Linked DNA regions of Drosophila melanogaster. The protein of the gene in region 1 interacts with the protein of each later gene in a pairwise test. Each region holds a gene or a part of one and is shown on either strand. Other genes may lie near its edges.

Region 1 (10,605 bases):
GGTGGTTCCAAGGCACTAACTCCCGAAGAGGTTGTCACAAATGTGGCAACCGATATTCTGGACAAGTTGCCAAAGCTATTCGACCGCGATGCGGCCCTGCTAAAGTATCCCACTCTCTACCACCAAAGCATGAACACGGTGCTCGTTCAGGAGATGGTGCGCTTTAATGTCCTGCTGAACACGATCCGAACTAGCCTTATCACGCTGCGAAAGGGAATCAAGGGTGAGTAAGCCATTTTATTTATGATACCCTTGCAGATATCGTAATGATTTTTCTATCGATATGCCAAACAAAAATTTCAACTAGCTATATAATGGGTATCTGATAGTCGAAGAACTCGACTACTTTTTGTTTTTATTTTCATCAAAACTTTATAAAGTACCCCTATCGTTCCTACTAATACATTTCAGATAAATCATTATACAATTACACCGAAATAAATCAAAATATACATTTATTTTGGCAATTTGTTTATGACAGATTGTTCACTTCTAAGATTCTCTTTTCAGCACACATTTTTAGTTTTTATTCAGATTCTGGTACAATATTATCTATGTTCTCAGCGGTTTTGTCCTTAATTTGGATATGGTTCTTGCTCACGGAGCCAATATATCTTTCCTCAACTTCATATTGATCGGTTATGGATTTATTTCTAGGCCTTTTAGAAGAATGCGATCCTTTCTCAGATTTAATCGGTTCGACTGTTGAATTTCTGACCCCCGACGAACGTACGGGTGGGATAAAGGACTCCCGTTCTGGCCAGAGCAAAAGTTCGGATCCCGGTTCGTCTTCGAGATCCGGTCCGAGTTCGGCATCCAGTCCGAGTTCGGCTTCCGGTCTGTTTAGAGGCTCAAGATTGAACTCGACTACCGAGCGCATTTCCCTAGACGTTTCCTTTTCTTGGTCTAAATCGTTTGTTGTTGTGTTTGTATCGTTGGTTATTATACTACTAGTACCCAAGGAAGTGGTGGGTATTACATTCTCAGAAACTAATTCAGTAACCGGCTTTAATTCAACTGAAGGGGAGTCTCTAGTTTTCGCTTCACCAGGAGATGGGGTGGTTAAGCTTTCTAATTTTAATGGAGATGAATCCAGTGGTTTTAAATTCTCTTCTTCTGGTTGCTTATCGTGCGATTCAGATGCTGATGAAATCCTCGTCCTCAATTCCATTGTCGACAGAATTTTATGAAATGATACCTTCGGCGAGTCTATATCAGTCCCTGTAATTTCAGAAAACTCTGAAGCTGGCAATTCAAATTTTTCTTCCTCGTCATTATCTATCGGAAGTTTTGATACATCAACGTTAGAATTTTTTTCTTCCTCACTGGGAAGCATTACTCTATAGCCCCTGCCGACAAATGATCCCAATTTTGAGGCATGCGAAACATCGAGAGTGCTTCTAAGACTGAACAAATCACTTGGTGTCGTCGTTGGAAGTGGCATTGGATTGAATATTTGAGATCTTAGAAATATGTCGCTGTCAGATGGTATTTCACCCGCCAGGGGATTATCAAAGTTTTGTAAATTTCTTGTAATATTGTCTTCTTTGCGTTTTCTTAATATGTTTAACAACTGTTTTTTTTCAAATTCTGATCCTGGCTGTGAGGTAGCATTTTCGGTATGAAAGTTTTCCATCTCGCGTATATTGTCCATGTGATGAATGTAATTATGAGAGACAGTAGGGCAGAGCTCGATTAGTTGTGATGGCCTCACGGCTGGAGGATTTTCAGACTTGTCAAATATGCCTGCGAACACGTCGTCAAATAGATCATTATAGTTTTCGTTAACAATACGCTCATTTTCTTGAAGCCAACGATCGCCAGGAACTGCCTGTCGTATGATCTTTCTTATGATGGCATGAGCTTCGCGCCAGGAAGTTTTTTGTGGGGTTTCACTTTCGCTGTCAGTGGACATCAGATACAAATCGTTGTCGATTAGGCGATCTATGAGATCACTCGTTAAAGTACATCCTATATCAAACGGATCTAGTTCATTCCACACCTTTGGGAAAATCACATCCTCCAATACGTACTGGGCGATCAGGGAATTCTCGTAGCGCTGCAGAATATTGTTCATATTCGGTGAAATCATGTCATTCAACATTATTCGTAGTGGCACATAGGTAAGGGGGTTTTGGATCAACTTAAAGCTCTCTAGCCATCGCAATATATCCGCATCGATCTTTTTGGCCAATTCACTCACTGTCTCGCCAGCAAGGCCATCGGCCATGCCGTACATATCAGAGCTCAGAATGTTGGCAAAATACTTATTGGAGATCTCATTGTTGACCACATTGCAATGTTGGAAAAGCTCCTCGTACAACAATCTCAATTCGTTCTCCTTCTGTCGCAGACCGGCTTCGGCGGCCTCGCGTCTCCAGCGTTCCTTTTGGGCCATAATCGAGAAGAAGTGAAGCCTTCGCAGCTCCGAAAGTCGGGTCATCTCCTCCGAGAGGAACTGCATCACCCAACCCACGTAGGTGCCCTCATAAATGTTCAACATGTGCTCCATTTCTTCGCGCTTCCTGTCGTTCTTCAAATGCGATAGTGTGGTCTCTGAGACTTTGTTCGTCCCCGGCTTTGCGTGTGGTGAAAAGGATCCGTAAGCTCGCGATTTACGATATTCCTCATCAGAATCGCTCCTTTCGTACAAGTCAGTTAGATAGGCCAGGGTTATTTGGGATGCCGCTCTACCCAATTCGGGTTTTCTTCGCCGTACTAGACATTTTGGTTCTTCTCTCTCCGCATTGGCCTGTGTTCTTAGGCCTTTCAGAGATTCGAAGAGCTTTTGTAGATTGTCTTCCTTGCAGAAGTTCCGCTCATATTCCTTGTCATACTTTTTGGGCTTGGACCAATCCTTAAGCTTTCTAAACGGACATTTGAAGTCGGTATTGTTGATTCGCTTCTCTAAGTCATCGATTCTCATATCGAAGGCTTTTTGTGCTGTTTTGGACACAAAGTTGCGACGCGCCGGATCCACGCCGTATCTTAAAAGCGGAGCGTAGAACTCCGAGCTGGGTGATCCCAACGCGTACATGGGACTTTGCTTCTCCCACCTTCGCGGATTCTTCGTAAGTTGGAACTCCATTCGGCGCATTCCCCGTTGGAACTCGATCTCGTTTTTTCGCAAACCCGCCTGACGTCGCTTCTCGATTCGCTCGCAGGCTGTTTCGATTCGAGTCTTTGAAGCGGTGTGCATCTCCTTCTCCCGCTTATCAAACATTTTAATCACGATCTGGAGACGCATCATCTGGCACTCTTGAATGTCCTCCTCACGCTGTATCCACTGCTCCCATTCAATGGCCTCCAAAATCTCCTTGAGCTCTGTTTTTATCGCCACTTTCCTGGCGTCTTGAAGTAGGTTTTTGAAGTGAATCTTTAGGGCATCACTAAAGGCCCATCGTTTCCTGGCGCGTTCCAGAATCTCAACTTCATGGAGTCCCGGTCGATTTGCTACTGGGAATATAGATGGCAGGGAAAACAGTTCCAAGGTTTCAACGCTGTTTGCTTCAAAAATCTCCGGCAAATAAGCCATTGTCTGCGCAGAGGATTCTCTAACAAATACGTATAGTTATATTAAATTATAAATTAGTATTTAGTTCACTTGGAGTTTACCTGTAAAGCGTCTGCGTGATCTTATTCTTAAACGGTCGTGCGTCCTTGTTCTTAGCAAAGAAATCACATTTGTGCCTTAAATCCTTTTTCGTCACTACCCTGGGGCTCATCTTGACCTCATGGGTGTTCACTGTAGTATCTTGTTCGGTAAGAAATCGGTATCCCGGAGCTTTGAACTGACACTCGCTGTCGGTGCGAGGCAATTTTCCAACATTGCGCTGTGCTGGGTCATTCTCACCTAGAAAAAGGATCATCAAATTATTGAAAGTAATACTTGTGTTATACCTTTTCAATCCAATTTCAATTTCTTAACATTAAATACCTCCTGTGATCCGCAGATCTACCGAGCTGTTGATCAGACAAGATGATAGGCCACGTTCAGTAAGATTTTCAGATTTGGAAGTGCTCTTTTTCCGTTTGATATTATCCTCTTTTTGTCTCGGTGATTGTAACCTGTCCTCCTGAAGAATCCTAAACTTAACATGCCTATCGAGTCGTGTATTGTGTTTGGACATTGTGTTTTTTTTTATATTTTTATATTTTGTATAAGTGTAGTTTTTATGTGGGTTTTGATGAGTATTGTGTCAGCAAATGGGTTTCATATTTAATTAATTTTGAATTCTAATTTCAGTGGGCTACTAAGTTAACTTATTCATATTAAGTATTAGTATGATTGTTTATTAAATACTTGTGTATTATTAAAAAATTAACTTTTCACCAACAGGTTTGGTTGTAATGTCTCCTGCTGTTGAGGCCGTTTACAAGTCCGTCCTAATAGCCAAAATACCTGCAATGTGGGCTGGAAAATCGTACCCAAGTCTAAAGCCATTGGGCAGTTATGTGACCGATTTTTTGCGCCGCCTTGAGTTTTTGCAGGTAAGTGATATGGAAAGTACGCAGCAATACAAAATAAAAAAACATGTTTTTAACTTTTATTGTAGCACTGGTTTGATCATGGAGCTCCTTCCACCTTTTGGCTATCTGGATTTTTTTTCACTCAGGCCTTTTTAACCGGTGCCCAGCAGAACTATGCGCGAAAGTATGTCATATCCATAGATCTTCTGGCCTTCGATTACGAAGTTCTCACGGTGGAAGAGCCGCAAAGGCAGGGATTATCGGGACCCGAGGATGGCGTCTTTGTGTATGGCATTTTCCTAGAGGGTGCACGATGGGATCGCACTGGAAAGTATCTAGCCGAGTCCCGGCCAAGGGAACTGTTTGATACGATGCCATTGATTTGGCTAAAACCGCTCAAGCGCGTCGATCTGCCGGAGCGTCATAACTATCTGTGTCCCATGTACAAGACTGCCGAACGTCGAGGAGTATTGTCCACCACTGGTCATAGTACCAACTTTGTGGTGGCCATGTTGCTACTCTGCAATCCGAATACTCCAGTCTCACATTGGATTATTCGCGGCACGGCTTTGTTGTGCCAGCTGAGTTTCTAGGGATTGTACATTACTTTCGATTGAACTAAATATATTTTTTAAGGTCTGCTTGAGGCTCATTAAGTAAGAAATATTTTGAAGAGGTGTCACTTGAAAATCACTTCCCCAAAAACATGCGAGCTAAATAAATATATTTTACCACTATTATTATTTGGTATTATTTTCAATAATAATTTTTTTTTATGTATGCGTATGAAAGTAACGAAAAGCTCCGTTGCCCAGGAAATTGAAAGATGGAATTTGAAAATTTATCTGAATTTAAAGACCTGCGATTCTTTGGTGGAGTAAACCACGACCTCTTCGGCCATATCGGTATGCTCTTCCTCAAATTCTTCGCCAATTATGGATTCTAAGTCGTCAGATTCCCTTCCCGAATTTTCAGATACATTCTCTTGTTCTGGTTCTGCATCTTCAACTTTTTCCTGGTCTACGTTGATGAATTCATTGAAATTGTCCGATCTAACTTCTTCGTCTTTACTTTCAAAGGCCTCCTCTTCGGCTGAAGGCGAACGCTGAATAATCGAGGAACCTCGCAGATCTTTTAGATTATTGTCGTACTCGGTAATATCAACAGTACTTATGATGGAACATAATTCAGGCTCTGGCACCGGAGACACACTGTTAAGGAGTTCCGCATTTTGGAGCACTTCGTTTTTGATATAGTCGTCAAATAATTCGTATTCATTTGCAGACATCTTCACTTTCTCCCCAGTTCTCTCCAACTTTTTGGTTATCTTATCTTCTTTAATTTTTTTAATGAGCGATAGGAATTGCATTCGTAGAATATTAGCATTCTCCAATGACTCCGATTGGGACGACTCCAACTTTTCCAAAGGAACTCTACTTGGAATCTCGTGAGGGAGGAAGGCATACGATTTACTTGCACAAAGGTGCAAAAGTTCGGTGCCCCGAACTGGTTCCGGATTTTCGATGCCAAATAGGATCTGGGCAAACACATCGTCAAACAGGCTGCTAAAGGTTTCGGTGACAATCCTCTCGTTTTCCTCCTTCCAGCGTCTACCCGGAACAGCTTGGCGAATGAGCTTTCGTATGATGGCATGGGACTCTGTCCAGGAGGCTCCATGTCCAGAATCGCTTTCGCTGTCCGATGAGAACAAAAACAGATCGTTGTCAATAAGGCGATCGATCAGATCACTGGTCAAAGTGCTGGCAATATCGAATGGCTCGAGTTCCTGCCACAAATTGTAGAAGATCACGTCCTCTACAATGTACTGGACAATCAGGGATGTCTCGTAGCGCCGTAGCGTAGCGCCCATATCCGGTGAGACCATGTCCTGCAGCATGAGACGAAGTGGGGTGAAATTGAGTGGATTCTGGATCAGTTTGAAGGACTCCAGCCACCTCTCTATGTCCGCATCGATTTGCTTAGCCAGCTCGGTAATAGTTTCGGCTGTCTCCTCCTCCACCATGTTGCCCACATCGGTGGTCAATATGGTGTCGGCATATTTCTCAGCAATCTCACTGTGCACTGAATTTGTAAACTGAAACATCTCCTCGTAGAGCATTCTCATGCAGTTCTCCTTCTGCCTCAATCCCGCTTCCGCTGCTTCACGGCGCCAGCGCTCCTTTTGTGCCAGGATGCAAAAGAAGTGCAGCTTGCGCTGCTCCTTCAATCGTTGCATTTCATCTGCCAGGAACTGCATCATTGTGCCAACATAACTGCCTTCGTATGAGCATATCAGTGTCTCCAAATATTCGCGCCTAATGACAGAGCCCCTAACTAACTTCTCAGCTCTTTGTGGGGCCATTTTTTTGATTGTTGTCTTGGTGCTACGTAATCCCTCGGAAAGTTCCACAAAGCGTGATTTGCGAGCTTGCCAATTGTAGTTGCGATATGAATCGGTGGAACTGGAACTAGATGTGCGATGCTCAATTCGCAATCGTGTCTTCAGGCACTGCGGTGGCTCCTTTGCCATGTCGGCCTGCGTTCTCAATGTCTTCAAGGACTCGTACAGCCTTTGGAGATTGCCATCATTGCAGAAGTTGCGTTCATACTCTCTATCGTACTCCTTGGGCTTGGACCACTCCTTCAGCTTGCTGAAGGGGCACTGCACATTGCGCATGTTCACCCGCTTTTCCAGTTCATCGATCCTCATGTCGAATGCTTTGCGTCCAGTGTTGGATTCAAAGCATCTTCGGGCTGGATCAACACCATACCTTATCAGTGGGCCGTAGAACTCGGAGCACGGTGATCCAAGTGCCTGCATGGGGCTCTGTTTCTCCCACTTTCGAGCGGTTTTAGCCAACTGAATGTTGTTGCGTCGCATTCCCCGCTGGTATTCAATTTCGTTCTTGCGCAGACCATCCTGCCGACGCTTTTCTATTTGCTGTACGGACTTTTCAATTCGAGCCTTGGAGGCGTTGTGCATTTCCTTCTCTCTTTTGTCAAACATCTTGATCACGATTTCCAGGCGCATCATCTGGCACTGCTGTATGTCCTCCTCGCGCTGTATCCACTGCTCCCATTCGAAGGCTTCCAGAATCTCCTTGTACTGCGTTTTGATAGACACTTCCCTCGCCTCACAAAGAAGTCGTTTAAAGTTATCCTTCAGTGCCTTACTGAATTTCCATCGTCGACGGGCCCGCTCCAAAAACTCCACCTCATGCAATCCCGGTGGCTTGTCGCCTGGCAGCAATTTGGCCAGTGTATAAAGCTCAAAAGTTTCCGACTTGTCCTTGTTCAGTATTTCAGGTAAAAAGGCCAAAGTCTGCGCAGAAGATTCCCTAAATACGACAAGTTGATATTATATGGGTTCAGTGATCTTTCCTTTCTTTGTGCTACCTATAGAGGGTTTGTGTCGCCTCATCCTTGAATGGTCGATTGTCCACATATTTCGGAAAGAAGTCGCACTTGTTCTTCAACTCCTTTCTTATAGGCTTTGCGTTCAGCTTGACTTCCTGAGTGGTAAAATCCGAATGGGGTTTCTGCAGAAAAAAGATTCCGGGCTCGTTGAACTTGCACTCGCTGTCGGTTCGTGGTAATTTGCCAACATCTCGCGCCGCTGGATTATTTGTACCTGGACATTTTTTAAATATAATCGTTTTTACTAAAAAAAAGGCAATCTTATTCAGGATAAACCCACCAGCCGATAATCGAGAGTCTTGGCATTTTGTGCATGACGTCTTCAAATGGCTTTTGCTGTCGGTTCGATGGAGTTTTTCCGCCGTAATCTCTGTTGGGTTGTTGGCTCCTGGAAAAACGGATGTCTAATAAACGACCACTTTATATCCGGGTGTACCCACCGCTGGCTAATCGGGTATCCGAGGACCTGGTGATCAAACAGGACGTTAGGCCCTGACCAATATTCTGCTCGTTATCCTTGTTTCTGGTCGACTCCCCAATACTCCTCTGTTTGCCATGGGTAAATGTGACACGTTTTTTTTGCTTTAAAGTGTCCTCTTTTTTAACCGTAGGTGGCTTTAGTACTGTCGTCGAACTAATGGGCATGAGCTCCCTATTTTCGCGTATGAACTGTAGTATTCTTTCCCTGCGCAATCGTTTTTCCTTTGCCGAGGGCATTTTTACCTTATGTTGTGTTTGAATATCTCTTTAATATCTTTTTGTATTTTTTTTTTTGTGTGCCTAGGGTTTTTGTTAGAAGAGTGCTTAGTTTTTTAGTTATATAAGTAGCTTACTATGTTAAACTAACCAGCTTGTCCTTATGCCCGAGCCCTATTGGATTGTCGGTAAGTCGGTCAATCTGGAGCAAATATTATTCGCCAGGCAACCAATTTGCTGCTAGGGAGCCACTTTGTTTGTTGGCCAATCGATAGGCGGCTCATAAGAACTAGTTGTAAAATCGGAAATCAAATCAAATCGCAATCTATAAGATGTACATATGGCCCGATATTTATTAAAAATATACATAACGTAGATGGTTGTAAGACAAATTACAAAAAAATATGAGCCTATCTTATTATAAGCTAAAGTTCCTTATTTTCCTTTGTTTTTCTTCTGTAAAATTCTGAATATTTTCATGATATCCATTAGTTATTCCTGGGATGAACTTTGACTCTTACAATCTGGTAACCATGGCCAAGGATCGTCTTCGGCGTCGGAATCTGTTCCAATAAACTTCGATGCCAAAGAATTTTGTGGACTTCCTTTGTAGATTTCATCTGAGAAGAAACCCTTAACTGTGCTACTACTATTTTTTCTTTCAAGGCTTAACAATTGTCTTTTAATTATCTTCGTACTGGGATCGTAACTGAAATCAGATTCAGTTTGTGGTAGTTGTTGCCAAACACCTTTTTCCAATCGAAAATTGGCGCTGCTGGTAAGGTTTTCATGCGAATATGCTCGATGCACCACAACTGGCTCAATTCTTGATGGCGCTTCAAATTTTTGCAAAATTTCATCAAATACACTGTCCAGCAGATCAATATAGTTTTCATAAACTATTCGTTCGGCTTCTTCCTTCCAACGTCTGCCAGGCACCGATTGTCGAATAAGTTTTCGAATTATGGCATGAGCTTCGTACCAGCCAGTTTTCTGTGGCGTTTCGCTTTCACTATCCGATGAGAACAAATACAGATCGTTGTCGATGAGTCGATCGATAAGATCGCTAGTCAGTGTGCTGGATATATCAAAGGGTTCGAGTGCCTTCCAAATTCCATCAAAGACCACATCTTCCACTATGTACTGCACAATCATGGTAGCCTCATAACGCTGCAGAGCAGCATTCAGATCCGGACAGACCATGTCGTGCAGCATCAATCGAAGTGGAATATAGTTGAGGGGATTTTGTATCAGCTTGAAACTCTCGAGCCATCGTTCGATGTCCATATCAATTTGCTTGGCCATTTCCGTGACCGCTTCCGCCGCCTCGTTGGCAGCCATATAACCCAGATCGTCGGTCAGAATGCTGTGCACATACTGATCACTGACATCGGTGCTAACCGCATTTGTATACTGGAACATCTCCTCGTAGAGCAGCCTAATGCTGTTCTCCTTCTGCCTCAGGCCCGCCTCGGCTGCTTCAAGTTGCCAGCGTTTTTTACTCGCCAATAGGGAGAAGAAGTGCAGACGGCGTTGCTCCTTCAGGCGATTCATTTCGTCGGTGAGGAACTGCATCATGTAACCAATCATACTGCCTTCGTAGGCCAAAATCATGCTTTTCAGGTCGTTTTTCTGCACATCCCTGGCAAGTTTTTGGGCGTACTCGGAACTTAGCTGATTTTTCTGTTCTTGAACAGCTTTCTGTTGTGTGGGTCTTGACGTTGATCGTGCGGTGTACGCATTTCTCTCATAGAGATTGGTATAGCTTTTAGGTTGTACCAGTGACATCCTGGACCGTAGGTTTGGTGTATGTTTAAATAGTAATTTAAGACAATCGGGCTTGGGCTGCTGCCCTCCATCGGTGACTCTTAGTGTCCTCAGCAAATGGTAGAGCTCATCCAGATGCTCCTCATTGCAGAAACGATTCTCTATTTCAGCGATCCGTTGCTTGGGCTGCGACCATTGCTTCAATTTGGCGAATGGACACTCAATTATTTGCATATTAATTTGCTTTTCAAGCTC
Region 2 (7,315 bases), on another chromosome or scaffold:
AAGTCGACGTATTCACAGTTATCTTTCAAAGAAATTTCAAATGAAAAAGACAATAAAAATGATGCATGATGTAACATTTTCATTGTTTTTGCTTATCGTGATGGCTTTCCAACAATCTTTAACCGTGGCGGATGGTTCTATGCAACTATACTGCCCCCTGGTTACATACACCCATCTCGAGCTTCTTTGCGACGGAGTCTATAACGCTGACCTATATTTGAAATACAAAGACCGGCTAACTTCCGTAAATGCGCCCTACAAGATCTTCTACTATGACCAGGATGGATATTATTTCTTCCTCGTAAGCTTCAACGACTCTCCAGTGCAAAGTTGTAACGCCACGATCCAGCTGGACGATGAACTCGATTTCTTTTGCGGAGTCAGTAAATCACCTTTAATAGTGTCCGGCACGCAGTTTTTCTGCCACAAGGAACTAATGACCTACGTAGATGACTTGTTATACGAATGCACCAAGCCAATAGCTCTGCGCTTCTTCAATGTTGAGTGGAAGGGAGAGGCTACGATTCATTACGCTGCCAAAACAGAGTCAAAAAGTGGATCTTCTAGGGGAATCCCTGGTTTGGAAATCTGGCTGGCCTGCCTGGTGTGCGTCTTTCTTCAAAGATTGAAACTGCTGTCATCCAATATATTTGAAATTCAAGTGAACTACCAGTTTGCCAGCTTGAAGCAAAATGCGCTTGTGCTCGATGTTCGTGCTGCTCTACATAGTTCGTAAGCTGGAGAATGTCAAGAGCGGATGCAACAATACCGAAGTGCTGGGATTGGAAGGATCCTCAGCTCCATTGACCACGCAATCGTCTGTCTCCCAAGGACGCCAGAATAAGGAGCTGTTTCGCACACTGTTCAAAATTTGTCCCAAGTGAATTTATACCAATAAAATTTAAAAAGAGCTTTGCTCTGCTTGTTTCATTTGCGACACAGAGCCCTTTAAAACTATAAACTTAATGAATGCGCTTAAAGTCCTTTCCCAAACATCTACACGCAAGTGTTGAGCACCACAGACCAATATGGCGGCAGTCCATATAAGCACATAAATTACGCCAACGCCAATGACAATGACGACAATGAAATGTGATGCCCCCCCATCCTCCCATTTCCGACGAATCTCCGGCTGTGTGCGTAAAATGGCAGTTAGCTGAGCCTCTGTATGCGGCTGTCCATGCCTGCATCTGGCTGCCATTGTTGGGATGTCTAAAATTTCATGCCACAACAGCAACTACAGCACTACAGAAACTAAGGCCAACTACAATGGACTCTGCTGAACTGCTAGTCGGCGAGGACCCGCCTATTTTGTTTACCCGAGTAAAATAAGCAGCTTCGAGATAATGCATGCAATCACAGGGCAAACGAGGGGATTGATGTGGACGCGGATTAGGTGGCTGGATAGAAGCGCCGCAGATGAAGGATTGAGGTTGCCCTGCCCGGCATTAAGCGACAATATAACTATTCGGAACCATTTTATTGACATAGTAAAATACCAAAATATCGTGATACGAGAAGGGGAATTATGGGCACAAGAAGGGGGACAGCCGCAGGGCGTTTAACGCGAGGTACAGCCTCACTAGTCCTCCTGATATTGCTCTTCATGTAGGCGATCGCCACTGCGATGGGTGGCGATCCTTCCGAGCACGGCTTCTTGGCACACGCATTGTACAGGTGTAAGGTGTAGTGGAACGGATAGTTAAGGCAGTGCATCTGCTCGACCTCCGTGTTCGGCTCTATGAAGTTGCGCCCGTCGCAGTAAAACTTGCCGTTGTGCATAACCACTGTGTAGCAGGAGAAAAGCGGCGAGTCGTAGAAGGAAATGAGCAGGTAGGACGGGTCGTGGGTGTCGGGACGCTTCCAGATGGCGTACGGGGTCCCGATGGCCGGGATGCGGTCCTTGTGCTGCAGCCGAATCTCCTCTATGTAGCTGCTGTGACACACGTACTGCAGGATGTAGCCCTCGAGGAAGGTGCAGTTCTGGTCCTCGCATGCTGCCGACACTGGTCCGAGGATGAGCAGGAGCAGCAGGAAGGACACTGGCCGGAACAGCGGGCACGGCGGATGTGGTTTGAGCTTGGGCGGCGGTAAAGTCGTAGTCGAAGGCGGTGGGTTGCAGACCGGGCGCAGGGCGTGCCGAGGATGCTTGGGTTGCTTTGTATGCTGAGGAGGACGGAGCGACGAACGGTCGATCCACTTGTTATTCAGGCTTCGTGCGCTTGAGAGGCGCACTGGCATTGCTTATAGGCAAATGATTCTTTGATCATTTTCGAAAAATTTGATGGGAATTTCCAGGAGAATAAAAACGGTTCCGATCACTTCTCCCCCGCTTGACAGAAGATTCTCTAGTTGCCCCCGGCCCTGCGTTTAGCATCCGCTTAGCATCGACTTTCTTAGAGAAGCCTGAGTCCCAGGGTCCAAGGCCGAGTCCTGGCGGCCCCAGACGGAATATCACGATTGGGAACCCGCCGCGCATACAAAATGGCGACGCGATCGAACTTCGTGGCCGGCGACAGTCCACAGTGCTTCATCAGGTCCCGCACGTAGGAGAAGGAGAAGTCAAAACAGTGGATGCTCTCCGGTCGAATGTGTATGCCTAGCTCATCGGAGTCAGCACAATGAAGGCAGTTGAGGCTCAGGCTAACGTTCTCACACGGCGATATGGGCGACTCATAAAAGGAGATCAGCAGCTCCACACTGGGCAGTCGTCTCCACCAAAGCCAGTAGGGTACGTCGGCACTGAGCCAAATGTCTCGGTAGCTCAGCTTCAGGTCGGTGCTGTATTCGGCCTTACAAACCAGCGTAAATGGAATTTCGTTTTCTAGCATGAAGTAGCAGGAGTCGAAGGAGGCCTCGGAAGAGGACAGAAGAAATGCGATCGGGAGCAGCCACAGTTTCCATGTCATGGCTTTGTAGGTTGATGTCCATAGGGTATGGCATGTAGAAATGTAGACTAATAAATCATGGCTGACATTTGGAAAGCGACGCTTCTTCTAGCGCAACAATTTATTCATTCAATTTTGAACAATATCATTTTTACATTAAATTTAGATTTTTCGGGTACAAAACTTTCATTTTAGTAAGTGATCACCGCACACACGACAAGAAGCAGGTTTCTTTTCACACTTGTCGAAGTTGCATCACTCTTCGGCAAGTCGGGGGTTTTTATGCTAAGCGAGCCGTAGTGAATAATGGGCTTCTTGGTAAGGACACCTCCCTCACTTATGTCTTGGCCCAGACAGTGCCTTTTTAGCTCATTCGTATAGCGCAGACCGAAGGGGAAGCAGTGGAGGGTAGACGGTGTCACAAACAAAAGATCGTTGGTATTTCTTCCCTTGGTGGCTAGAAAGAATTGGCCAAGATCCATCTCGCCTTCCTGCAGATTGATGGTATCATAGTTTGGAAACATCGTGGTGTAAAACGATACCAGAAGAGCAGAGTCGTCCTCTTCGGTCTGCCAAACACTGTAGGGAGTGTCGGGAGGAGCTCGGTTGTCCCGAAACATTGTATACATATCCTTGGGGACATTTCCCTTGCACACGAACTTTAGAGTGACATTCTTTGCGAAGGTGCAATTCCCAGTGCTGTGTATGGCAAGAATTTGAAGCAAGGTCGCCAAAAAAACTATTGATATTCCAAAAAAGGTCAAGTATAAGCGCATTACAATAAATTTAAGGATGACTCATTACGGGTTTCCAAATTTCAACTCAACTGACAACAGGCTCACAGTTTTAAGGACCCAGATTGATTTTTTCTAAGCCATTTTAAGATTTCCCTTTGAATTATAATATTTATTTTTTATGTTAAGTTTTACTAAATGTTTAGTATTCAGGATTTAATTTACATAATACATTAATAAATCTTTTAAATTATTTTATAGTTACTAAAAACTATTTGTTCTCATAAAAACACATACGACTGGGTAAATATAACCTAGTAAAGAACAAGTTTTTACATCCGGTCACTTTTATTTCGATTTTTACGCGGTAGTCAGGCCAAGGAACTTGTGCACTACACATACCACTTTTACAAAAAGTTTCAACTAACTTTTGCAGCCAAAGATAAAAAGTTTTTTGAATTCAATCAAATTAATTAAACAATATCTTTGGTGATCCAGTCTATTTATGCACTATTCGATTCCAAGCAAAGGCTATGCTATTGGTACTCTTTTCAAATTTCATTAAATGCATTATTTTAAAAAACAAAACAACCAATATATGAAACATTCGGAATTTGTGCATTACATTAATGGGTTGAATCAGTTTTCCCTAACGAATACTGGATTTTAAAACCATTTGTGGATTGTGAATGCCAAGCCCAGAAATCTTCTCTATTTATAGAACTCATTGTTTTGATCCGGTCATTCCATCTCTTCCTCGATCTCAGTGCAGCTACTAGGTTTCAGACAAGTCGGAGGAGAAAAAATGCGTCAAATTGATTTACACGCAAGCTAAAGTTCGTTGAAAGGGCGGGCTGCAGCAATGTGAAGGAACAGAGTTGAAGAGACTGGAACGAATTTACTAGACAATTTCTGGGCTTTAACTACGTTTCCTGGGAGTTCTCGGCCCGGAACTGGACTTCCCTGCATTTCCTTCCTTTGCCTGCCTTTATTGAATTACATAGATATTACACAATGGGGGTGTGTATTTGGTCTGCCTGAGAATCTGAGCGACAGCTCAGGGTGTAGCGCAGGTGTATTGTGTGGCTGATATAAAGGGCAAAGAAAAGCATTGAATGAAGTCGGGAAAATGCCAAAACTGCCAGTGAATGACAATCTTAAGGCGAACCCTTCTGGCACACATATCCAACGTTGAAATTACAATTCCTTCCTTCCATCGCGCACAGATGTCCTTGCAAGGCCCAAAACCTTTGCATTATCCATTCTTCATTGTAATATTAATACATATCATATGATTCACAGCTGACGATGCCTTCGGCACTTCGTTCGTGGTGACATCTGTGGCTTTCCTTATTCAGTTGTGCTGTCGCTGACACATTGTCAATGCAAAAAAGATTCAAAAATGATGCCCGGAACTGTTTTGTGCTAATGGGACAATCAGCAGTTGCGGATTTCTCGGTCAAATTTATCGGTAGATAACCAAGAGAATTAGTAATGAATCGAAATACGGAAATATGACGACCTGCAGTAGAAACCCTGAAGTTGACGAGGATAAGTGGAGCGGGAAACAATTCCATTAGTGAAATAAATAAACTAAGCCCAACTAAATGATTGAGCAGGTACAGTCGCAATCTTCCGTCCTGTCATGCCCAGAATCAAACGGTGAGTCCAAAAACAACGTTCGTCGCGTGCATTATTCGAGTGCAAACATCCCAAAATACGGACAAAGACCTCTCCTTCACTCATTTCGGTAAAATCTCTAAGGATGTCACTCGACTGCGGCCGCCAGAATACATATTACATGAGTCGCCCAAGTGGAGCGCACACATATTGACCCATTTCGATGCTGCCAGGTCAGACAGGCCCCCACACCCAAACACACCCAGCCACCTAGGCCAAGGAGCCGCCGAGTAGTTTTGGTTAATAAAGTCAAATGCCACCAAAATCAAACGGAAAGCGCCACTTACGACTAATGGCATCACGGCATCGGTGGCAAGATGCCACATCCTGACACAGCTGCCTACCACCAGCAAACACACCAGCAACAACAGAAACAAAGGCCCTTGGATATCCGTCAGTAACGTTGGGGACCTGACGAGCTGAGGCGAAATTGGGTATTTTTAATTGTATTAACATCGCCTAGAAGTACAGTGGGCCAAATTGTAGGTCAGACTACGTATAATCTGGTTTTCTAATAAGAAATTTTGTATGTGCCTCTTAAACAAGTTTATATGTCTTATACCCGTTACTCGTTGAGAATCGTTACTAGAATCGTTAAAAACTATGCAACCGGCAGAGGTAAGCGTTTTCGGCCATTAACCGAGTCGATTTGGCCCAGCCCAAATTTTTGAAAATGTTTTGGTATTATTTTTCAACTCCCACTTAAATGCCCACAAACCACTTAAGCGTGTCACGCCCACACTTTGAAAAAATGTTTTTATATTTTTGTCCATTTATTCCCCAATATTGAAATATCCCTGTGCAGTGTAGCCCACTGTTAGTCATTTTAGGCCTACTCCCTGGACATCGCGATTGGCTCCGCTTTGTGTAGCACTTAAGTGCTTACCGAGGCCTCCAGATAGTATACATTAGGTTATTTGATTTGGCTCCCAGCCTGATTGTGGCTTTTAGTTTGATATGGCGAGAGGTAAGAGATATTCAAATAGTATGAGCAATGCGGGTCCAGATGCATTAGTAATTACAATATCAAAACGAGTTTCCATTAACTATTATAAATGTTACACGTACATTCAAGGGTATAGTGCCTTCCATGAAACATGTGTAAAAGTTTTTACCATTTTTCTGCCTAAAACCGCAGAATTTGGAAAAATTGGGAGTAAATGGTGTAAAATGGTATACTAGATTTGATGAAAAGTATGTAATAGGTAGAAGGAAGCGTTTCTTACCCTATAATGTATATATAAATATTATTAATAAGGATAGATAGCGGAGGCGATCTGTCAGTCTGTCCGAACGACGAGATCTCGAAAACTATAAATGCTTGAAAGTTGAGACATGCAGACTTTGCGATGCCAACGCTGTGTGTGAGTTATAGCTATTGTTTTAATTTCTATTGATATTGATTAAAAAGTCATGCATTTTCTTGTTCCCTATAAGTACCGAGTATCGATACCCGAATATAGCGATCTCTCTTGTTTTAAATTTTTGTATGAAAAAATTTTGGATGTAACGAGTGCTTGCTAAACAATGTAAGCATACTTCACCGTTCGATAAGTCTACTAGAAATGATGCTGCTCCCACTGCGGACTGCCAAGCAGGACCTTGAAAAGGTGTAAAAGGAGCGCAAGCGACCTCACGTGCTGCCAAAACGATGGAGTCAACAAAAGTCAGCTGAGGAAGTGGGGACCAGCACAAACGACAACGAATTACTCGCTGTCAGAACAGGACAACGGAGCAGCAGTCGCAGGACTCGTCTGTGCGTGTGGGAGAATCCGCAGGACAGTGCAGGGGATCGCGTGTCTGGCAAGTCGGCGACCGAAAATCAAAAGAAAATTGATATTAAGAAATTGCACGAAATGAGTAAATGAAGCGTGGACGCCTAATGGACTGGCGTCTGAGCTGAGGCGGGCCAAGAAGGGCGACTGATTGCCACCTTGGAGAAATATGTATTAAAAATTCCACGAAAACTAATCAATGTCAAATGTCCGTCGATTGTTCCTCACCGACGTCCCA

Evidence for each region. Proteins that work in one complex are often made in the same cells at the same time.
Region 2: the proteins of CG15143 (region 1) and CG43330 interact in a two-hybrid assay, tested with the Drosophila melanogaster proteins (one large-scale study listed by BioGRID).

Annotation. Positions count from the first base shown.
Region 1 is NT_033779.5:17,520,392-17,530,996, forward strand, and holds CG15143 (uncharacterized protein), read right to left. Parts: upstream 4,159-10,605; 5' UTR 4,131-4,158; coding exon 3,938-4,130; intron 3,854-3,937; coding exon 3,616-3,853; intron 3,555-3,615; coding exon 527-3,554; 3' UTR 501-526; downstream 1-500. Other genes in the region: Dhc36C (dynein heavy chain at 36C), read left to right, coding at 1-223, 4,340-4,491, 4,557-5,063; CG15144 (uncharacterized protein), read right to left, coding at 5,312-7,808, 7,867-8,101, 8,168-8,275, 8,328-8,604; CG15145 (uncharacterized protein), read right to left, coding at 9,076-10,605.
Region 2 is NT_037436.4:22,501,515-22,508,829, forward strand, and holds CG43330 (uncharacterized protein), read right to left. Parts: upstream 2,910-7,315; coding exon 2,397-2,909; 3' UTR 2,355-2,396; downstream 1-2,354. Other genes in the region: CG43312 (uncharacterized protein), read left to right, coding at 101-736; CG43331 (uncharacterized protein), read right to left, coding at 1,480-2,241; CG43329 (uncharacterized protein), read right to left, coding at 3,080-3,664.